3 linked regions of the Drosophila melanogaster genome follow. The protein of the gene in region 1 purifies or fractionates together with the protein of each later gene. This does not show direct contact. Each region holds a gene or a part of one and is shown in the gene's direction. Other genes may lie near its edges.

What was found.
Region 2: the proteins of Vps33B (region 1) and Syx16 purify together in Drosophila melanogaster (affinity purification with western blotting, with the first as the bait; one study listed by BioGRID). This does not show direct contact.
Region 3: the proteins of Vps33B (region 1) and Syx7 purify together in Drosophila melanogaster (affinity purification with western blotting, with the first as the bait; one study listed by BioGRID). This does not show direct contact.

What each region holds. Positions count from the first base shown.
Region 1 is NT_033777.3:25,468,305-25,476,602, forward strand, and holds Vps33B (vacuolar protein sorting 33B), read left to right. Parts: upstream 1-5,185; 5' UTR 5,186-5,211; coding exon 5,212-5,268; intron 5,269-5,323; coding exon 5,324-5,424; intron 5,425-5,481; coding exon 5,482-5,800; intron 5,801-5,864; coding exon 5,865-7,310; 3' UTR 7,311-7,452; downstream 7,453-8,298. Other genes in the region: CG4553 (uncharacterized protein), read right to left, coding at 7,458-8,298.
Region 2 is NC_004354.4:20,388,063-20,395,321, reverse strand, and holds Syx16 (syntaxin 16), read left to right. Parts: upstream 1-1,570; 5' UTR 1,571-1,679; coding exon 1,680-1,760; intron 1,761-1,834; coding exon 1,835-1,968; intron 1,969-2,030; coding exon 2,031-2,874; 3' UTR 2,875-2,988; downstream 2,989-7,259. Other genes in the region: HERC2 (HECT and RLD domain containing protein 2), read right to left, coding at 1-442; l(1)G0004 (lethal (1) G0004), read right to left, coding at 3,064-3,786; jb (jean-baptiste), read left to right, coding at 4,554-4,882, 4,939-5,067, 5,132-5,132.
Region 3 is NT_037436.4:21,442,222-21,450,628, forward strand, and holds Syx7 (syntaxin 7), read left to right. Parts: upstream 1-3,612; 5' UTR 3,613-3,802; intron 3,803-3,939; 5' UTR 3,940-4,033; coding exon 4,034-4,154; intron 4,155-4,221; coding exon 4,222-4,291; intron 4,292-4,641; coding exon 4,642-4,786; intron 4,787-4,859; coding exon 4,860-5,276; intron 5,277-5,334; coding exon 5,335-5,430; 3' UTR 5,431-5,907; downstream 5,908-8,407. Other genes in the region: Alp1 (alkaline phosphatase 1), read right to left, coding at 150-301, 411-1,515, 1,620-1,879, 2,454-2,529.

The sequences.
Region 1 (8,298 bases):
TTGCCACTACTGGCTCTGTTGGTAAACAAACATATAAACAGTTTTTCTTGTTCATATTTTCCAGCGTATTTTGTTAGCAAATGTCAACTTGGTTGACTGCACAGAATGCATCGATAGTTTTTCTTGATTCTGGAGTTATTTGTTTTTAACCCAAATGAAGGCACTTGTATTTTCGGATCATAAAAAGAGTAAAAATGTTTTTTTCTTTCTATATTTTCTATTTTCAGCTGTTAAGTGGAGAACATAAAACAATCCTAATCGTAACTAATATTATCAGAGAAAGAATCAACAAAGAATTGCACAAGAAGTAACGACTGACCATTGAACCAGAAGAAACGTAAAATTTGCAATATCCGGTCGATTTAAAGTGTTTTTGTAGCTTTTTTTGGTGTCTACTCCAGGAACTAGCCAAACGAAAAACAAAAGAAATTTCCGCTGAGTCAAAGTGCAAAATAAAAAGTTCAGCTCGTTTCAATTGCTCAAATCTAGCCTTTTGTCTTCATCGCCTCGTTAATTTAGAAAAAAAAAAAAGAACTCTGGCAAATAGTGTTGACACTGGAGATTCTCGGTTATAGTATTTAGAAATTTTATTTTTTAAATAAATAAGCTTAATAACAATGCTTATTTTGTTAAAGCTCCAAAAACGCTTGAATTTCTGGGCTGTCCGTGGTATGGTGTCCGTTCTGTCCGGAGTTTGGTGTCCGGAGAACGGTGCGAGGTTTAAAATTCCCACATCTCTGGTCTTCTTTGTATGTCGGCAGTTTCTAAGAGAGTTAACTTAACTAGTTGGTTCCGCTTTTGTTTGGTTTCTGTTTTCCTTTTTTGTTTTTGGCCGGCGACATCGCGGGAAATTCAAACTGAACCGAATAAACAAAGGACGGCGGTGGGGGCGTGTGGCAGGCAGATCGAGGGAAAGTGGGAAAACGCTGAGACGGAGTTGCGTCAAACGCTTTTCCGCCTTCTCAGCTATGCGTGGCACGTTGCCTCGCGCTCAAATTGCTGAGAAAGGTGAGAAAATTCGAGGGAACTAAACTGGAGATTGCACGACCAAGCCAATCCAGACCAGCGAGAAAAACCAAACCAAAAGATTTTTCATCTGCGCTCGAGTGCCGTCATTTTTCGGCTAGGCAGCGCGCTTAAGACGAGGATGTGAAAACCCCGGACTTGTGAAAGCCGCTGGTGTGAAATGGTGGGCAGGTATGTAGGATCTTCAAATGAATTGGCCGTGTCGAAACAAGTTAACCTAATGGCCGACTAGCTGCTTTGCATAAATTTTTTCCCCGAATTTCCAATTAAATTCGCAATTTTCCAGCGGCCAAAGTCGAAAATTTTACAATGACCTCTAATCAAAGTTGTTTATTTTATCGACTGTTTGTATTTACATTATTCTAAAAATAAGTGCAAAGTTGATTTTGGCCATTGCGAATAGGCAAAAGCAAAAATCAAATATATCGCCATCTATCAGTTTAAATTGAAATTTTATGCACAAATTAAAGTTGTTCTGAATCTTGTTTCTCAAACACATCTTCCTCATTCAAATATACGTTTTTCCAAAATATACAAATGTGCTAGAGAATGTATTTCATGTATTAATTCATCTGTAGCGTTTAGATACTTCTCAAGTATATTTCTTAGGCTCAGTTCCACGAATATAGTGGCCAAGTAACGATTTGCTGATTTATTCGCTATATTTGCCGCACCTTCGTTGCTTTTCTTTGTTTCTACTTGGACACGCGCCAAAATACTTTGCTCAAGGCAGGCAAACCACACACACAAACACTATCTGTACGTCAGAGCAAGTCATCCATCCCAGATTCTACATCCCCAACATATATCCATTGTGTCTCCCAACTCGAGTTGGGTTCACTTTCGCCATTCTGGTTCGGCGCAAGAAAAACAAACATGGCTCAGTGCGTCCGTCCCAAAGAAATGATGAAAGCCGAAGAGCGAAGAATGCCGTAGAATGAACAATTCTTTGTTACTTGTCTTGTCTTCGAGTGAGTCGAGTGAGTCACCCTAACGTAAAGAAACGCATGAGTGCGAATTGCCGCGATTGTTTGCGGTTTTTTGATGAGTGTGCTAAAATAAAGCACTCACTTTTCTTTAAATGTACATGCATATATGTACTCACTTTTTGGGTCTAAAAATATTGTAAAAGAAATATACAAATTAAAAATACCTAATCATGTAAAATGAATTCGTTACCAAACTAGCACACAAATCAGCTAAAAAGCGACGCAGTATTGGCAAATGTTCAAAAAACGTAAGAATAAACTTCAATCGCATTTTTCCAACACACACATGTGTCAAAATGTACCGAAAATGCTGCCCAAAAATAGAACCCGCCAAGTATGGGAATAATTACATTTTTAAACAGACTTACGCCAAACACCAGAGATCGAAAAAGAGAGTGAAACGAAGCTAATACAAAGCAATTTATATGTGTACAAACAGACAAATGGAAATATTTGCCATATGCCAACAGAAGAACAATACTAATTGGGTTTGATGTGTGAGCGTGGAAATGAGCAGAGCAAAAACAGACATCAAACCGACGAAAATTCACACGCCTCCTCCACACAGCGAACCAAAACGAGAATCTTTTTGGGGATTGGGTAAATTTTTTGGAGGGGGTGGGGGGTAACGAATAGCAACGCACGTTGCAAAAATGCTTTCTGCTTTCTTTTTCAAAATCATTGCTGTTTGCACGAGTTCTTGTTTCGTTTTCTTCTCCCGTAGATGTGTAATTTGTTTCAGGTTTTAATTAGTGCCGAACTTTGGCAAGAGAATTTATGGGGGTGCGATTGGAATTGGGATTGGAATCACCTTCGGGTGATGGTGTTGTTTATTTACCTATGTAAATGCAAATGAATTATTTCGATTTGCTTTGCTTTCAGCTTATTATTGTTTTTATTAAGCGAGTGAAGAGCGCATCTCGGACTGGAAATCGAATTGAGAAACGCCGATGGCCTCGATAAACTCAGCGGAATTTCCCATTAACGGGAATCCACATCTTCTTTAATCCAACTAACGATTAACCACTCTTATGAGTAATAATAAAATGTCGCATTAGTCGGAATAAAAATTCATTTCAAGTAAAGATAATTAACTTGCTTTTAGATTTATTCCTAAAGCGGATCCTAATGATTTTTTCTATATCTAGTATATAATGGTGAAACTAAGCAGTAATACTAATTTCAGCACAAGAAAATCAAATTGTTTGTATTTTATGCAATACAAACAAATCTCTTAAGATTTGTTTAGTTCTGAAATGATGATTCATGTTTAAAATTTCTCGCACTTTCGAGAGCAAACCTACAATTATAAAAAGAAAAATAATATGAACGCAAATTTTACATTATTTATGCTTTCAATTATAAAACAATAAATATTAAAAAAAATCATATATAGTTGAAACATTCTAACGTGACTCTCCTAACAAAACATACTGTTGCAAAACCTGTTCTAAGCTAAACTACTTAAAAACCTTTTAAAACTTGTAGGCAATTAGCAAAAGTTGAACAGTCTGGGCAAAAATTAAACTTTTAAATAAATCGAAAGGCCAATAAATTATAAAACCCATGGCAAAAACTTATTTTTAATGGGAGAGAGGGAAATACAAACAAATAAAGCATAATTGGGAGGGGCAACAAGAACAACAACAATAAGAAACGGGCATTAGAAAGATGAGCACGAAGAAGAAGATGCGATTAGAAGGCACGGGAGCGCAAAGAATAGAAAAATTAAAAGTAATCTAAACAGCAACCTGTGCAGCGTGCCCGAGCGAGACAGCTGCTCAAACCGGTATCGCAACAACAATTGAACCGCAAAGAAAACGCGAAGAAGACACACACACGGACTATAAGAAAATAATGTTAGCCACTAAAACAAAAACAGAACGAAGCGAAAACACAAAGATAATGATTGACAAAGGCAACAATGTACAACTGCAAGCAGGACAGAGTGAGAAGGAGAGAGCGGTAAAAAAGAGACGAATCTGCGGCACAAAAGAGAAGACGAGAACATGCAACAAGCTGCAATTGCCCAAAATAACAACAACAAACCAGACCGCACGGCTATTTTTGTCATTAGATTAAATATTTCACATATTTTTGCACAGTTTCACCCACATGCGCCAAACCCAAATTATTTATAAACAATGTAAGTGCAAGCTCACCTGATAACTGCAAAATAGGCGCCTGTAACTTTTGATAATATGGAAAATCTCAATTTAAATTTGTTGTTGGCTGTTGCTTTGCTTGTTGTTGCTGCCGCTGCTGTTGTTGTTGTTGTTGAATTTCACGCGAAAGCAGGCAAGACAACAACATAAAATCACAAACACTTGCACGCACATACGTCACACACACCCGCACACACACTTGGACAGCTGAGACATAAACACACGGAGAGCAAATCGCAGCGAGAATGGGAGAGAGAAAGAGACAGAGAGCGATAACAAATTTGTTTTCTGGTTTTTCTTCACGATTTTATTACACGCTTTTCGAATGGCTAACCATATTTTGATTCACATTTAATTCGCTCCAATCACAGTGTGTTCCGTGCGCTTGCTAATTTTCGATTTTCCACCGCAGAACTCCGCCCGTTTTGCTGCTGTTTTGGCAATCGTCTCTCTCCTGGCTAAAAACATATGATTTCGGTTGACGGAATCACGATAAAAACACATAAATGCGAACAGGGCGCGCGCAACAACTTCCCACGACAAACTCTCGCTTCGGAATTTGGAACGAAACTGCCACTTTTGCAGCGAATCGCGCTTAAATACCCGTCTAAAGATGGGAACGCATGGCGAACCGGTTCGATAGTTCGTGAGCGAACAGCCTTCGCACAGTGGTATGCAATCAAACTGAGCAGTAGATTAAGTACTTTTGTTTAACAAACCGGATAGCTCGAACTTTGAAAATAAGTTTTGGATCGGCAGGAATTAAGACTGTGCACAATTAATGCTTTTAATGGTGACTCAACACTTTGTGACGTCAGTAGTAGCATAAGTTCAAAATAATTAATTTGAGTATAGCTTTTGTTTAATGTATTGTATAGAATAACTAGTAATACTGCTTTTTTGACTGCGATAAACATTTACGTAATAAAAACTGCATATATTTGCTTTGTGACAACCCTATTTTATTTTGCGTGCGTCACCTTACATTTTGCTACCTTGCTGCATCAGCTGTTTGTGTTGTGCGGCGAAGAATGGATTTGACGCTGGACAAAAAGCTGCAGGGATTCCAGTTGGTGGCACAAGAAAAGGTATAATAATGAATCGGAAGAGTGAAACTATTAACTACCTGCAATTCGACTGCAGCTTTGTTCCATACTATGTAGCATACCTGGAAAGAAGGAGTTAATTTTGGAGCCCGACTTGATAAAGCCACTGGAACATGTTGTCACTGCCTCCTGGCTGAAGTAGGTGTTTAATCCATATTTTATGGATATTTACGTCTTATATATACCCCTTAACAGGTTGAAGGGCATACAACGGATCTACAAACATGATGCGGCACAATCTTTGCCCCGATCCGCCGATCAGGTGCACATCTACATGATCCGCAGTGTTTTGGGTACATTTCAGACACTTCTCAAGCAATTGCAACCCGTGGCCTCAGAGGAAATGCCCGACATCTCCATGAAAATGTATCACATAGTCTGTGTGCCCAGTTGTTACTCCTATTTTCAAACCCTGCTGGAACAGGCTGGTTTGTACGGACTGGTGCAACTTCATCACTTTAACTGGGACTTCATCTATTTTGATCAGGGAGTTCTCAGCTTGGAGCTGCCCAATGTGAGTAGATGTACATTGAACATTCAGAAAAGAGTCTTTTATACTGGATATTCTTATTATTCAGCTTTACGAGTGTCTCTACCTGCAGAAGAACACATCTCCATTGCCTGCGGTGGCCCAGAGCCTGCGATTGCTTCAGATGATTTGCGGACAACCGTCTTTGATTCTGAGCTTTGGCCACCACTCGTCGCAGCTAATGCAAATGGCGAAGACTCTTGGCAAACTTCCGGCGCCCACAAATCCTCCAGACTATGGCGGCTGGCTGGTCATCGATCGGGATAAGGATTACCCCGCCAGCTTGCTCACTCCGGCCATCTATGCAGGTCTTCTCTTGGAAGTTTTCGAGCATAGTTCTGGCGAGATTCTGGTAGACAATTCCAAGAACAAGATCCGCAGCCAGCGTGTGGAGTTACTCCAGGGAAAGAAATCCAAGATAGGCGTAAACTCAGCCAGCAAGCCGTGTTCCATTCGTCTTAACTCCACATCCGATGAGATCTACGGCGATAATCGGTACAAACGATTTGCTCAGGTCAGCAGTTTGATTCACGCACAAGTAAAAGCCCTGGGCTTGGAACTGCAGAAACTCAATGACATGCAGCTGGACGAGATGCATGACTATGTGGCCAGGAAGCTACCCAAACTAACCGAGCTTAAGAGCAAAGTCCTTAGGCATCTGAATGCCAGCGAGATTGTGATCCAAATGATGGGTAACTTCAGGAAGCTCCAAACGCTGGAGGAGGACATACTAAACAATGATTCAAGAAAGCGATTGCTAAGCGAGATCGACGAGCTGTTGACCACAGATGGTCAGAGATTTAATACACTGCGACTGCTGTGCCTCTTGCATCATTGCGTTGGCGTGGCGCCCGAGGAGCTGCAGATATTTGCGCGGAACTACTGCAATCTGTTTGGACACCAGGAATTGGGCGTGTTCCAGCAGTTGTCGCAGGCGGGCTTGTTGCCACCACTTGTGGTGGAGAAAAAGGCGCCAACGAAACTGCTCTCAAATCTACCTCTGCCCAAGTTCCAGCAAACGGAGTTTCAGGCCAATGCTAATCGGCTAAAGCTGTTGACCTCCAGTGGAGATGGTCAGGATGGAGGTTCCTCCTCCAAGAGCCAATCCAGTGGCTTGCAGACCTGTCCCAGTTTTGTGTTCAATGGCACCTACATACCATTGGTGGCTCAGCTCTGCTCCATTTTGCTGAAAATCAATAGTGCTGAGGAGTTGTCCTCGAAGCTGGGCATGATTGAGGGGCTGCATCTACACCTGGACAGCGGAAAAATCACGCCCAAGGCCTATGCCAGCCAAGTGAAGCTAAACGGAGTTGCAGATCAGGATATGTTCCCCTTGCGTCTCAGGAATCTCTTTGTATTCATTGTGGGTGGTGCCAGTTATGCGGAAATCGCCGCCTGCGATTTTGTGGCAAAGCTAACAGGCGCCCAAATAACCGTGGCATCCGACTCTCTAATGGCGGGCAGTGATTTGATCGCCACCGCCTTCAACCGCTGACCATGAAGTAACTAAGAATCTGTGTATCAAATGTTTTATATATTTTTATACAAAACAATGATGACAAAGCTTGTGATTAACAATTTTCGAAATTTACAATTTAAACAATGCTCTTTTCGAATAAATATTACCTAAAAGTGGCATTTGCTATTTATCACCACTGGCTCTGGTCATTCCAGGCACTCGGTAGAGCAGCTCTCCATCGTCATCGTAATAGGCATCCTCCACCCGGTAAGTGGCTCCTTGGCGATGCAGTTTCCGGGGAATAACAATGCGTGTTTTCACCTGGGTTATTTCATACTTGCGCTGATCCGCGGCACTGATCACAATCTCGCTGCTCGCAAACTTGGGCACGAAACTGGGCAGGAATCCGGTGCCACTGGGATTCTCGATGGGCCGCTTCATTTCCTCTGGAACTGCGGGCGCAGACTCAACGAGCTGCAATTCCTTAAGCTCCTGCAGCCGCATCTTCTTTTTATTACGGATTTTGTCCAACAAATAGGTTTCATCTTCGGCAGCAGAGGGTGGAGCTTCATAGCCGGATGGGATTTGTGGTGTAGGCATCTCCTCTGTTGTTTTACTACTGCTGCCCAGCAGTTTGCGGAATTCGTTGCCTTGCGGAGTCGGTAGTTGTGATTTTGTGGGCCAATCCTGGATTTTAAGCTCCCGCAGATCCTGCCACCTTCGCTCGGCGAATTTCTGCAGATGCTGGAGAAGAGACGGTGGGATACTGAAGTCACCCTTTCCCGTCCCTAAAAGCTGCCAGTTTTTAATGACGGTTTCATCGTGGGAGCGTATCCTTTGCACACTTCTCGGTCGCCACTTGGCCCGCAGAATTTTCTGCACAATGTCCGGAGTGGCGGGAAAACTTTCGGCCAATCGCTCAACGCTCCATTCCTCGGGATCTCGCTCGTGCAGCAGGCGCATCTGCTCCTTTTCGGCATGAAGCAAGAGATTGGGCAACTTGGCGTCTCGGAAATACTTGTGC
Region 2 (7,259 bases), on another chromosome or scaffold:
GGCAGCAGGAGCACTTGAGCTGCTGAGCGCCGCAGTAGTGCTTGCCATCGTCGCCCAGGTAGGATAGTTGTCCGCGGGCATTTAGGAGCGGCGCGGTAGGCGACGAGACCAGCTCGCAGTCCTGGATCAGATGGTTCCACAGTACGGCGCCGTCGGCGGCGTTGCGCAGGGAGGCGATGAGATCGGCGCGCAGCCACTTGGCGTCCAGAAAGGGCAGCGGGCGCAGGTAGAGATCGGGCGAATGGCTGGGCGGTGCTGCTGATCCGGAACCTGATCCCGATCCAGATCCTGCTGCGGAGCCTGCTCCTGCCGCTGCTCCACTGGCACCTCCACCCCCTCCTACTCCAACTCCAGCGGAGACTGGTGCTGCAGAAGCGGTCTGGCTGGACCCAGCACCCTGGCCACTGGATCCGGCTCCTCCGCTCGCCTGGCGGTTGAACATGTTTGTGTTTTCGTGTTGCCTTCCCTAGTGCTCCACCGCCGAAGTCAGGCTAGAAACGAGCTCGACCACAACCACAACAACGACAATGGCATGGCACAGTTACCCCTTCAAGGGGGGTGTGGTGGTGGGTTGGAGCGCGGGTGGGGGCGGGGGCGAAGGCGGGTCAATGTCGTCACTGGCACACACACTAAGCACACGCACACGCGCGCAAGCACACACACAACTGCAATCGGGCGTCCAGGATCAGGATAATTCGTTGTTATCCTTGTCCGCACTGCTCATTTCGTTGTTCCGCTCGGAGTTAGTTATGACATCCTGACTTTTCCACCCGCACTTGAACTCTCCGTTTTCCGCGCTTGCTGCTTTCGGGTCACAATTGGAAGTGCCAGTTACCAGTACAATGCAATTTGAAATCAAGGAATTATTTTAAAATGAAATAAAATTGTTTGATGGCAATCGATATCAGGGGGAGGTGCAAACTGACTGAGCTATCAAGTAATCGATATCAGGGGGTCGAGCCATCGATATGTTTTGCCTTTCGATAGCTCTTCAGTGTTCTTAAGTCACAGGCTTGTGTCACGGATTAAAACCCAGTACAGTGGAAGCTGGCTATTAGAAAACGTTAAGCCAAACTCATAATGAGTTCCCTAAAATTCTGTAAATTTGTAATTTTTAAACATTAGCCTAAAATGTACTTGATTCTAAAATCATTTACAATATCATTCGGTTATATTACTCTTTCGTAACGCAAAAAAAGAGAACGCACATAACAAATTATTGAATACTTTTATTGTACTATTACGGTCGTTTTATTGCTAAAAGTATTGCATTTCAATTTACGTGACGGTGTGTACAGAATTAACTTTATAAATTGTTGAAACTCAACAAAGCAATACTATATTCTGTAATTTCCGAATATTTCTATTGGAGCTATCCAATCCGTATATTGAAAAAATCACTTTCGCAAATAGGATGTTTAGGAGTATACATATAAAGTACAGATTCTACAGATAATAAGAAAATAATATTTAAAATAAGTATAATTCTCGGACATGTAACGGTGCGTTCAGGCCAGGGTGACCAGTTCGTCGTGGCGACTATCGGTATTCTGGGCGAGCAAGTCAGCGGGCACACTGCGCTGCTGTGTCAAAACGAAACTGGAAAAAATCTGATTGAGTTTTCAGCGGACTTGGATCAATCCTTCCAATCCCCAAGAAATCGGGAGCAGACGGCCAGGATGACGTCGCGCAACCTGACGGAGGTGTTCGTCATCATGCGCAACAATGCGTCCAAGAACCGGAATCACTACGACGATCGGGTGAGTGCGTCTCCGTCTGGGGTCTTCACTGTTATCATCAACTAACATATGTTTTGCGTTTCTCCGTCTTCCAGAGGGGCAGCGATGCGGAGCGCCTTCTAAAGCACTCGGTGCGCGAGGCGGAGGAGGGACTGGAGCTGCAGGACGACTACGGCACGCCGCCCGCCTGGCTGGACAAGTTCGAGGAGGCGCAGTACACCATGTCTAAGTGGGTAAACAAACAGTAGTCCATGCGCAGGGTTCAACTTCACTCCCATCACTCGTTTGCAGGATCAAGCCTAAGCTGGATGAACTGGGCTCCCTGCACGCACGCCACCTCCTGCGACCCGCCTTCGATGATCAGCGGGACGACGAGTGCGACATCGAGGTGCTCAGCCAAATCGTCTCCAAGCTGATCACCTCCACGCACCGGCACATCCAGTGCGTGCGCAGCAGCATCGGCGTGGGCAGCAAGATGGAGCAGTGCCTGACGGTCAACGCGGTACACTGCGCCCTGCTCCAGCTGCAGGAGCTGACGGTGAAGTTCCGTGCCAGCCAGAATGCCTACCTGCTTCAGCTGAACTCCCGCGAGGAGCGCTCGCAGAAGTACTTCGACGACGGCGGCGGCGCTGGCGCTGGAGACGTCTTCACAAACGTGGAGCTGGGCGAGCAGAGCGCCGAGAACTTCGTCGACTCCTTCGACAACTTTCTGCAGCCGCCGGCGGAGGGCAAGTCCGGCAACGGCTATCTGTTCGAGGACGACGAGCAGGCCATCGACGATCACTTCCAAAGGCCGCCGGCCAGCCGGATGACCCAACAGCAGCTGCTGCTCTTCGAGGAGGAGAACACGCGGGTGGCGCAGCACCGCGAGCAGGAGGTGACCAAGATAGTCAAGTCCATCTACGACCTGAACGACATCTTCAAGGACCTGGGCCACATGGTCCAGGAGCAGGGCACTGTGCTCGACCGCATCGACTACAACGTGGAGCAGACGCAGACGCGCGTCTCGGAGGGATTGCGCCAGCTGCACAAGGCGGAAATGTATCAGCGCAAGAACCGCAAGATGTGCGTCATTCTCGTCCTGGCGGCGGTCACATTCTTCATGCTGCTGCTGCTCATCCTGACCAAGCTCTAGTTGCCCACGCGCCTCCAGTGGGCCGACCTCATTCCCGTCATTCGCTGTGTGTGTTTGTGTATATTGTAAATGTTTGAATACATGTTATTATATTTATTATTTATTGCTAATGCTAAAAAAAAAACCGCAACTACTCCCTCTCAAGTCGAACTCCACTCCAGTCCAGTCCACTCCAGTCCGCTCTCCCAATCACATGCGCTCCGAGAGGCGCGAGGCGACTGCCCGCAGGTTGCCATACACCTTGCTGGGCGGCGAGCCGAGGATTAGGTTGCAGACGGCCCGGCGCGCAAGCTGAATGTTCTGGTAGCTGCCCAGGATGTGGATCTTGCTATCGGCTAGCACGATGCGGGTCTTGGTCACGTTCTCGATGGTGAATTTGGTGCGGCCGCCCTTGCCGGCGAGGCGGCCGATGGCGCGAGACTGGTGGTCGCCGCGCAGCGTCTTCACGTCCTTGATTTCGAACGACTCGACGAACAGGTCCTCCAGACGCAGCAGGGCCAGGGCGTCGTCCACCTCGAAGCCGCAGAGAAAGGCGCGCACGAAGTCGGCGCCGCGCTGCAGGTTGGCTATGTCCGGCGTCTCGGGGCCCACACGCAGCTCCACCTGGCGCGCCTTCATGTTGAAGCGGATCTGCAGCTTCATGTGCTCCACCACGGGCGTAAAGATCTTCATCCAGTGCTCCTTGAGCGAGGAGTACCTGTGTGGCGGCACGGATACCTTGCGCAGCTCGCTTCTGGCCCGCTTTGCCTTGGGCGGCGCCGATGCTCGCGAAGATCCCAGCACCTGGCCCTCAATGCCGGTCGCCTCGTCCACCTGCATCTCCACGTCCTGCTGCCCGCCTCCGCTGGCTCCGCGCTTCGTCGCTCTCTTCGCCGGCTCGAATGCGTCTGCTCTGATGTTCTCTGCCTCCATGGTGCAATCTGTTGTGCTTTTACTGCGTTGTTTCCAATAATTTCTCAATCCAGCTGCTTTGTCTGCTCCACGTGCTCAGTGTGACCGCGCTCGAATCTGAGATTTCAAATACATCTGTAGCTGAATACCACACCACTGAATTTCGACGAAAATACCAATGCGTATGTACAATTCTACACTGGCTAAAAAGTATGTAGAATGTAGAATTCCGAAATATAATACGCCTGAATTCTTGATAAGAAACATCATTGGATTTGAAGGCTGATTGAAGTGCGAATTCATATTTGATCACTCATTGAATTATTGCTGTTTCAAAAGTAATAATTCAAGTACAGCCTAAAGCTATAAGGTGACGTCACTGTCATATAGAACAACACAATGTAAATTCTCAAAAGATGGCAAAGGGTACCGAAAGGAATAATGGTTTCTGTTAGGCCCATATATATGTATATATATACTGTTATATATATACTGTTAATATATAATAACAGTATATATGTACATATATACTTAATCTTAATTTTGGAATCATATTCAGATAACTGTTAATCAGCTACAGACGAGTGGGATAAATATAATTTAAATATATCATAATAATTTTATAATATATATAATATAATTAAATATAAATCATTTTTGCATAATTATTAAATGCAACCCTTTCATTTTCAATCAATCAAAAGGTAGCCTATTTTTGACATTTGGTTTGCTTTGGTCCCTATTGAATTCAGTTCACATCTAGAACCCGTACCGGAGAAACCATTTCCATGTCACAACGGAACTTCAAGATGCCAAATCCGAACAACGAATCCCATTCCTATTTCCTCCGGAATATTCCGGAAGAATTGCAGCCTCAGTTTACGCGTGGATTCAATCAGTGGATGGGCAATCAGTCTACGATGACTAAGGGTTTGCCATCCAATACAGTGAATAAGTCTGCCCAGACGGCATCTGTCAATGATGGCAACTTGCAAGCTAGCGTGATCGCAATGCTGGCAGGAATGGACTCGATCTTGGACATGGAGCAGCCTAACAGAAGTCCTTCGCGCGAAGAGCACGAGCGCCTAAATGAGCTGTTGTTCAGCAGCAATTTGCTGTGAGTTGAAGTAATTCGTGGTGAGAGTCCTGACATAAAGTTCATAGTTTCATTAGCATGCTGGACGTAAAGAAGCGAACGTTTCCCGTGGAGGACCCAACTGGGTATTTAACTTCGGTTTCAGAGCAAAATCCAGATGGGAATCCGTTGGCTAAGCGACTAAAGCTAGAGCGTCCTCAGGGCTGGTAAACAAGTCTCACGAGGAATTACCTTCATTCTACACATATTCAATCATACATATCTTTTCAGACACTAATGACCAATGTCTCTTCCTCAGAGTCTCTCAACCATACAGGACATTAACGAACCATTAAATAAATCACTATAAAAATAAATCACAAAATAGTTCAGAAGAGCCGTTTTATTTTACCAGTTAAGGTCGGTAATTGAAAGAGTTTCGCAAAAGAGGCACGCAAAAAGGTATACATACATAGCTCATACACCTTTAGCTTAGTAATGGGTATCCGATAGTCGATGGTCGACGTGGAGTATGTGCATATGTATATGTGACTTTTTAATATATAAATATACATATATGTATGTGTTGTGTGAATATAAATTCGTTTATAATTGGGGAACGGCATTAGAATGCGAAAAGGTAATATTATTAAGTGAATTTAATGTCAAAAAGGAAACCATGAGTGTCCTGCGTGGCATAGCAGCTAGCTTTTAGGCCTGTGCTCGCCAATCGTTATCGAAAGATGGCAATCGAGTAAGCGGGTAAATTGAAGTTTAGCCGCAGGCGGGTATTAGGTTTTCAGATTAATGGTGGTCAGCGTAGGCGGCGCTCCTCTCGCAGCCATTAAAAGTTTCTGGGGATGCAATGGGACTTACTTTTGCATCAACCGCAGCGATAAGAAGGCCATTGCAATGCCTCCTATTGGCCTGCACTTGAAGCAAAGTTAAGTAAGCCAAAGTGGAGTTAAGTAAAGTTAAGAGCGAGTAATGCGGCCACCGCAGGCAGGCGATAATCTCAAGCTTGCAATTGCACTGGCAATTTGTTTGTTATCTTCTCCGTTTCCGGTTCCCCACGCCCTTTCTCGTATTTCTTCTCTTCCACCTCCTGACCCTTTTCCGGCCTCTTGGGAAACTTTTCCATGAGCATGAGCTATTTGAATAAGTACACTGGACAAAACTTGCTTAAGAACTACGGAGTATTGAAGATGCAATTTATATATATATAAAACATACATACTTAGCATCTGCTATCTATTCGGATATTGCAGACTCCATTGAGATCCAGTTTCTATTATCTAAATATTTTTTTTTTTTTTGTTTTGGGGTTATTCAACACACTGATGTGGTTTGAATATTTCAAAACTTGGTACGTTGAAGTGTTTATTTTCTTTGTAAAAATCTTGATTTTGATACAAACTTACAAATGGTTATAGTAAGAAGTGGATTAACCAGAAACTTTTCGAGTCAGTTAACGATGCACGTTTTAAAAAATAATTGTGTATAGCATCAGAATTTACCTACTCCTTTCATTTCGATCGGTGTCCAAATTGTTGATACACTTATCTGGGCATTTAGGCATTTGAAACTGGGACTGCATATATCCGCCAACCAGCTGAGCTCAGTTCCTTCTTTTTTTAACAGTGCAAGGAATTCGTGGGCGATATGAGTGCAAATTGCGTTGGCTTTCATTTGGCATGCACTCATTTGGGTTATCTGCTCGCCCACTTAATAAGCTTAATGACTCTCGAAGCCGTTGGCTGCACATGATTTTGCCAGCAAAATCGCCTAAAAGCGCTCGCCGCTCGAGTTGCGCCACGCCCACTTCAGCCGCACCGCCCACCTCGGAGATCCTTGGTAGCCTTGGTAGCTCCGAAAACGACGACGAGCGCGAGATGAAAACGCGAATACACGCGCAAGGGCCTCAAAGGTTTTGAACGAATTGCACCAAAGTTATAATTAGTTGAGCTTAGATTCGGGCCAGGACCTCAAAGGCGAGCATGTATCCTGCGTCAGCCACACGGGAAGTAAATCAACAACAGCTACGCCCAAACTGAAGTACATATTTCGCAATTAGGCCGCGATACTGCCGGTCTGTTCGACATTGATTTGGTCAAACGCAGATGTGCATTGATGGCTACGACCGCAGTTTGACTTTGACTTAAGTGTATGCACATTTGGCCAGCAAAAGTCATATATACATACATATGTTTGTACCTTTTTAATACTCCGTGCCTGAGTCGCAGTCGCAGTCGCACCCTTGTTTCGCCAGGATAAGCCGCTTAAGCGTCGCCTATTGCGGCTCCTTCTTTCCGCTGCCACTTTGCTGGCCATTAGTATAAGGTCCTGCGACACAAGGTGATGCTGCCCCGACTATTTGCCAAATCCTATCACTTTTGGTCCAAATCCTTGCGGCTCGAAA
Region 3 (8,407 bases), on another chromosome or scaffold:
CTGTTGCTTCTTTGCTTATTCTCTTTATTCAGGAACTATATAAGCTAAAAAGTTAAGATTAAATATGGCGATTCTAGAATCTCCGCAATTTGTTTTAAGAATAGATCATTTTATTCAATTTCTAAACATATTTATTCCTAGGGGATTTTCTAGGGAGAGTATCTTGCTTTTGGCTGCAGATCGCAATATGTAATTCCAGGTCCTAAGCAAGAGGCGAAGCCCATCAAATGAGGCAAGGTGCTTTGTTCGTAAACTCCAGTGAAAAGATGAGACCATGGACCTTGAAGAAGATATTCCACAACTTTATACATTTCAAGAGTTTTGATTAAATGCTTGGATTTAAGATTATATATATCATTCAAAACCCATCTAAAAAAAAAAACTTAAAAACCAAAAAAACATGAACTCACCATGAGCATAGACGGCCACATCGCCACCGCCGTGTGTCTCCTCGGTCATGGGCACTCCATGTGGATAGATGGCATCCGGTTTGGAAAAGTCCAGGTTACGGAGATCAACGCGCTCCACCACTCCGTCCGTCGATTTGTAGAATCTCTCGTAGGCCGGGCCGTTGGCATATGAGATGGACGTGTAGGGCAGCTGGTCCACATTACTTAGCTCGGAATTGAGTCCTACTATGCTGTTGTTAACATCCGGATAGCCGCTGATCGTGACCGTGTGTCCGTGATCCGCACTCACCACAATTAAGGTGTCCCAGGGATTGGTGAGTTGTCGTGCCTTTCTCACTGCGTCCGAAAACTGAACGGTTTCATCCAAGGCCTTCTTGGCCTTGGTCTCATGATGGGCGTGATCGATTCGACCGCCTTCCACGAAAAGGAAATACCCGTTTGGATCTCGGGAAAGCACATTTATGGCCGCTGCCGTCATCTCGGGTAGCGTGGGTGTGTCTATGCTGTCGTCCATGTGGTACGCCAAGTGAGAGGCATTGAAGAGCCCCAGCAGGAAGTCAGTGTTCTGCGCATCATTGTTCAGGAGATCCGTACGACTAAACACCACCCTAGCATTACCCGGCTTTGTTTGTTGCCATTCCTCAATGAGGTTCCTATTATCCAACCGCTGGCCCTTGTTTCCGAACACATCGTTCGTGGTATTGGGCAAGAATTTAATGGTTCCACCGCCCATGACCACACGCAGTCGCTTGCCCACATCTCCGTCTATCAATTGCTGGGCGATATCCGGACAGTTTCCTGGATTTTGACCCAATTTGGTCACGTCGTAGTCGCTCTCGAAATCGCGATTCGAAGTGTGCGCATAAACTCCGGCCGGACTGGCGTGGGTAACCCGAGTGGTGGTCACCAATCCAGCGGATTTGCTACCTTTAAGCGCCCAGGCGGCAATCGAGGAGAGCCTATTCTGCGGCAAGCGCGATCCCCTGCAGTCGTTCAACTCCACATCGGCTGTCACTCCGATGGTCAGATAGTTCGCCTTGATCCCCGACAGATAGGCCGATGCTGTGCAGGCGGAGTCAGCCACTTGCTTATTGACGCAATAAGTCTACAATGACAGAAGGGCGTAATTACTGTCTAGTTATTAACGGACTTAATAAATTTATTAGCAGTTTATTGAGATAACAAATGACTTCGTTGACTTCTAAGTACCTTGGACAGACCGACATAGTTGAATTTCTCGAACTCCAGACGATTCCGTTCGCCCACCACTCCACGCAGCTGTCCATCGAAGATCCTGCCTGCGGTTACCGTGGGAACGGACATACCGTCGCCCAGGAAAAATATGACATTCTTGGCACGATATTGGTTTGGTGGAGTGGATAGCTTATTGTAGAGCGTGCGCTGGGCGTCGTGAAACCAGAACTCCTTGCTCTTCAACTCGGAAATAGAGTCGAGGTCCCAGGATTGCTCTGAAAGTAATGCGATTTTAGCTTATTTCATTATAAATTAAGAATGCATATTATTCTGATTAATTGAAACCATTTTTTGTTACTAGCCGATATGCATACACATTTCAAGTACAACCTCAAGAATTTATCAATTCCAAGCACATGTTTCGTTTTACAAAACAAAAGCACAGACACAATTGCCATTGTTTTCCACTCCACTTTCGAATTAATCATTAAAAAGGGAAATTGCTTTCAGAAGATAGCACATAAATAAAACACCGAAAGAAACCTATGGAAATTAAGCATTAAAATTAATTCAAATTTAAATTTTAAAGTATTAGTCTTATATCCACTTTCGTTAAAACATTCTCCTTCGGAAAAAGTGATGTTTGACAGCTCTGTTAGCGGGTGTCAAATATTTAATTCAATTTACGAGTATTTTGCTGACGCCTTTTATACTCCGTTTAGCACTTGATTAATCAATTCTGCATATGTTTTGAGTTTGCTTTCGACCTGGCACACTCTCACTCGTTTTTCATTTATTCATTTCGGGTCTTTTGGGCCCGTTTCTGATCTCGGTCTTGACGTTACGCACCTGGCCCATATTTGTACTGGCTGCTACAGGCCGTGAGTTGGAGGGCAAGAGCCGCAAAGAACCGGAGAGCACGCATCGCACGGAATTTTGATGAACTAACTTTCGACTGGTCGGGGCGTTACGAAGTCTACGGATCGACTAAGCCGCATTTCGCAGTTGGAGGCTTATTTATACGAGCCCGGTAAGACAGGGACCGAAAATGCGAGTCGAATTATAAAAAAACACTGAGACAATAAATTAAAACCCGTCCCTGTATTATAAAGCTTCTAAATACACCTACCAACCGGAATTTCGGGATGAAAGAAAGGCATTTATGCCCTTATTCAAATTATGCAGCCAGCACAGCTTAGATTAAAATGATGTTCTCCAAAAATCAGGTTCGTTGCATTGGTCATTTGCATAATATCTTGCATCGCAGTAGGAGATGATGTAATTAGTGGATGCATCGAAGCAGCCTAATTCATTCTGCGATCTAAAGTTCATTAACCGTGCCAAACACCGGATACTGATAAATATCTCCAATACACTAATTTGTAACGTTAATTTGAATTAAGTTGCTTTTGATTTTTTTTATAAACGAGTTGCACTTATTTTGTCTACCAGTTATTTGACTTTTTTAAGAAAAGTAATAATCTTCAATTTTATTTCTGCTAAACAGGTTTCAAATACCCTGAGTTGTACAATGTTAAATTTTAAGTTTTGAATAACATTCTGGGTAAGCAAAATAGTTTTGTATACCTACATTATTATTAAATTTGGTATGAACATATTTATTGAACGGAAGGAAAACTGTCTAAAATTCGACTTATTTGTTTTATAAGGCATCATTGTTGGTCATTTTCATTTCTATACGACATTTTCCTAATCTAACATTTTAATTTTGGAGAAAAAGTGCAAAATAATAATTTATAATTTTGAATAATAACATTAAGCAGTTCATTTTAGACATGGATCGATTTTCAATAATAAATCTCAGGACTTATATACATTTTCGAGACAAAATATAGGGGGAAGAATATAATTAAAATGCAGTTCTATATATCTGCTATTTGAATGCCGCGCCAGATATCGATATAATTGAAGTGCTGTAAAGCGTAGCAAGGAAGTGATGCTAAACGCATCACGCGCTAAGGCACTTTTGGGTATTAGTCGAAAGTGACTTTCTCACAAGTTGGCAGTTCCATTCCAATTGTTGTAAAAACCTAGCTAAAATTTCAGTTTTGCGAACATTCCGCCTACTTAAATCAACAAATTTCAGATTGCGAAACGCGTAAAAAGTGCGAAGGAAATGCTCTAAGATCAAGGTCACCGGCGAAGGTCACCAACGACAGCTAGGGCAACCACAAAAGGTGTGTGGCTGTGCAGCAAACAAAGGGAATGCGAATTGCAAACATTCCGACAAACAGACAAACTAACAAACAAGCACGAATATAGAATATAGAATCAAGAACCTGGCTGAGACGCATAAAAGCGAATGTGATATAAGTGGGCCACGGGGCTAATTCGATTGTCTGTCTCTCCAGGAACAACTTGTCTCCAGCGATAACTCGAAGGTCATCAAAGTGTCTGCCTACGAAAGCATGGACTTACAGCATATGGAGAATGGTCTAAGCGGCGGGGGAGGAGGTGGCCTAAGCGAAATAGATTTCCAAAGGCTGGCCCAGATTATAGCCACCAGCATCCAGAAGGTGCAGCAGAATGGTGAGTGGCGTCGAAGCACTTGCCAACTTTCGCCTATGACTAATCTAGGTTTCTGTCTCTTTCGCAGTGTCCACGATGCAGCGCATGGTCAATCAACTGAACACGCCCCAAGATTCTCCGGAGCTCAAGAAGCAGCTGTAAGATGATTATCATTACGATCTCTTCGTTTGGAATTTAAACTGTCCCCATAGATAGAACCCATTGCAGATATACATCGATTATTCGAATATCTCTCAGACAAATCATAAATTCTAAAGACATAGTGAAGATCTCTATTGGGTGTTTACTCACAATGTCTAAAAATCTTCTTAAGCCAATACAGCCTTTTAATACATTTTGCGCACATCAACCGACCACATAAACCAACAGCAAAATAACATTGTAGTCAGTCATTGGTTTTGAAAGTTTAAACGTATCAGCACAGTGTGATTCACAAATCAAATCAATGTATAACGCACGATAAAAATAACAATCCCTTACTCCACAGCCACCAAATAATGACCTACACCAACCAGCTGGTGACCGACACAAACAATCAAATCAACGAGGTGGACAAGTGCAAGGAGCGCCACCTGAAGATCCAGCGGGATAGGCTCGTGGACGAGTTCACGGCGGCACTGACCGCCTTCCAGGTTTGTTTTTGTTCTCCCAGATAAGCAAATGGTTTTGTGAGTCATGCTGATTGTTTATCATTGGTATTTTTAGTCTGTTCAGCGCAAGACGGCGGACATAGAGAAGACGGCGTTGCGGCAGGCGCGCGGAGATAGCTACAACATCGCCCGTCCACCCGGCTCATCGCGTACCGGCAGCTCCAACAGTAGCGCCAGCCAGCAGGACAACAACTCCTTCTTCGAGGACAACTTCTTCAATCGCAAATCAAACCAGCAACAGATGCAGACTCAGATGGAGGAGCAGGCGGACCTGCAGGCCCTCGAGGAACAGGAGCAGGTCATACGGGAGTTGGAGAACAACATCGTGGGCGTGAACGAGATATACAAGAAGCTTGGCGCCCTGGTCTACGAGCAGGGACTGACGGTGGACTCCATCGAGTCGCAGGTGGAACAGACTAGCATTTTTGTCTCGCAGGGCACGGAAAATCTGCGCAAGGCGAGCTCTTACAGGGTAAGTGCCGCCCCTACAAGGTTATTATTTTAAATAATTTAAATATGTTGTTTATTAGAACAAAGTGCGCAAGAAGAAGCTTATTTTGGTGGGCATCCTGAGCGCCGTGCTGCTGGCCATCATCTTGATACTCGTTTTTCAGTTCAAGAATTAGAGCCTTCCGGCATCTCCGAATGATTCAAACCAAACTAGTAAATTGTTGTGAAAAGACAAGAGTTGCCGCATGCAGGCCCCTAAACCCCGTAATTCCCCACCCAATCCTTTGGACCTTAGGCGAGATTATGGCTTTAATCCTTAATCCAACTTCCAATACTGGCTGAAATCGAAAACTGCGACTCGTAGACGAAGATATAGTGTTTTGAGGAGTATTCACCGGCACGTGCATCTGTTATATTTGCTTTAAAAACAATTTTATATTTTATGTGTACTACTTTTATTATTACGCACCCTGTATATTGATTATTAGTATTGATTAACAACTGTTGGCTTCAAATTCTAATTATGTTCCGAAACTCATTCGCCAGCGCTTTGTATTGTATTGTATTGTATTTAGAGTTAAGAGGCAGAGGAAGCCATATATGCGATGGCATACACACATGTACGAAAAATGAAATAATAAACATGAAAATCGATCCTGCGTGCGTTGAAAACACTTGGAGCACTTCATTTAGGGCCCGACCTGAATGAATCAATGAATGGAACTCGCCAGCTCTTCTGGGCATTCGGAGAAGTGCATGGTCATCGACTCCTCCTTGGCTTAGCGATCATTAAGATTTCGTGTTGGCCATTGTTACGCATGCTTTAGCGGCTTAGGAGCTCCCATCTCCCGACTCCCAACCCGATCTCGATCCCAAAACATTGGTACCAATCCGACTATGTGTTCAGCGAGCGCACACTCTCCGATGGCACATTAATGCCGCGACAGACCTGGATGCGGTGGACCCACTTCAGCTTGCTGCATCGTTGAGGTGTGTCAGCCGGGGCTAAAGGGTTTCCTCGTCGCCGGACCCCATCTTCCTCCACATTTGAAATTCCAGCTCCGCAGGCCTGCATACAAATTGAGTTTAAATTTTTTGCCAATTCACTGACATTGATAGTTCGTTTGGGCATCATTTGTGTGGTGGCTTCTTATCCACTTGTTGGCATCGAGTGGTTTTCTCGCATGCATTTAAGTGCAGCTCATTTCCTTCTCGAACTCGCCCCGGGGCTCGCCAACAATCATTTCCCGCCAAGTCATCCAGTTTTTTCTGGCCCAAGTCGTTTCGGATCTCTGCCCTGTGGTTCGCGGGGTATATTGAATCATTCAGGAGAGTGGATTAGGTATTTCAAATGGGGAAAAGTGTGTTATTTTCAAACTAAAAGGTGAGTAATTACTATTATAATTGTGGTAATGATATATAATTTATAATGTTATTTATTAAATCGCTGTAATATTTTCATGTTAATAATTGGCCTAATCTGATTCTTAGATATATTTGCTGGTAAATTTAATTCTTTTACCTAAAATCGTAACTATTATTGAGTTTAATTTTCAAAATATTTCTGAGTTCGCAGAGTATCTGAAAATGCCCCTGAGGGAATTCTTACCCATTTTCTGGTTGTTTCTTTTGGTCCGCTTGGCTGTCAGTGGTTGTCCAAATACGTCACCGAGCTGCCCGACCAAGTCGACTGGGAATTATTGATTACTCGTCCGTGGGGCCAAGGGTTAGGCCCCGATTGTTGCACGGGCATCACGGCCTAATCACATCGATTATGACTACATGCGGCACTTGGCAGGTTGGGCAGTGGACAAACCGGGACCAAATCCCGACCCGGGGCCATGGGTCACGTTGTGAGCTCGAGTGGCGGAGGTGTTGGAAATTAAGAGAAACTATGCACACCTACATGGCCCACGGAAACACAGCAGGTAGTCAGTCGTCCGGCTGTCTTGGCCAAAAGGCTGCTGTTTGCATAGGCCGTAGTCGCTAAACCTGGAACCATGACAATATTGACATCTTCGGTGGTCGACGGACATAGCCACCGAATCTCATTTGCAAAGTCATTTTGTCCAAATAAATCCAGCCTCCGTCTTTGGTGATTTTCCCAGCATAATAATGTGCGACCGAACACAAGCCGCATGTTTTGACTTTGGATGGCAGTGGAACGTAGAATGGCCAGTGGAAATTCCGGAACTTGGTAAGCGCTGGATTGACTTACCAACTTGCTAGCCAGGATTTTGAAATTTCTGGTCCTGGGAAAATTGCAGTTTAGAGGGGAAAACTGTGAAATGGCAATCGCGCATCTTCCGGCTCCTAAACCCCGATAATCCCTGCACATTTCGCACGTTGCTTTGCAATCAGTTCCCTTCTACGTACATATAACTCTGATGATTGTAGCAATGATGAGGTTGTTGTGCGTGGTGGATAAACATCCGGTTTATGGCATTTCCCAAATCAATAAACTTATTATTATCCCATTTCCAACTCTACCAACGCTACCGCGCCTCCCATTTTATTTGGAAAAATTCTTAATTACGCGTTCTTATGAATGGAAGACGTAGTGGCTCGATTCTTCTGCTCTTACAGCATCTTAAGTGGAAATACTTGCCGTGGAGGGCTGTAAATCTTTTGAATTTTTATTAAAAACAAAAATACCAAATCAAAAGTTTCGTTTGATTGTTCCGTTTTCACCTGTTAAGGGGGCAGCGGGGGGTACAGCACCTGATGCCCAACACTTTCGACAGTTTTATTAATGAAATTCGCAGAAAAAGCTTCCCACAGATGTGCTGCCTCTCTTTTTCACTCGCCGTGGTTTTCCACCATGTCAGTTTTTCCGTCATACAGAACAAAAAATAATTCCTCTTTATAAAAAGGAATAATATACCTAAGTTAAGGAATAATTTACATCTGTAATTCTACCAAAAAGTGTCCAGAAATAAAATGTTGTATAAATCTAACATGAATAATATAACTTGTGCGCTTCAATTAAACTCTTCACTTCGCTGCATATAAAATAAGTGAATAAGTCGATGTAAGACTAAATATGCATTTTCCTGTGTAGCTGCGAATTGATGAGCTACCCTTGGCGCAGCAAGAACGCCAACCCCCCTTTTCTCTAGATGCTGCGCACACTTCTAAACAAATTGGGTGTCA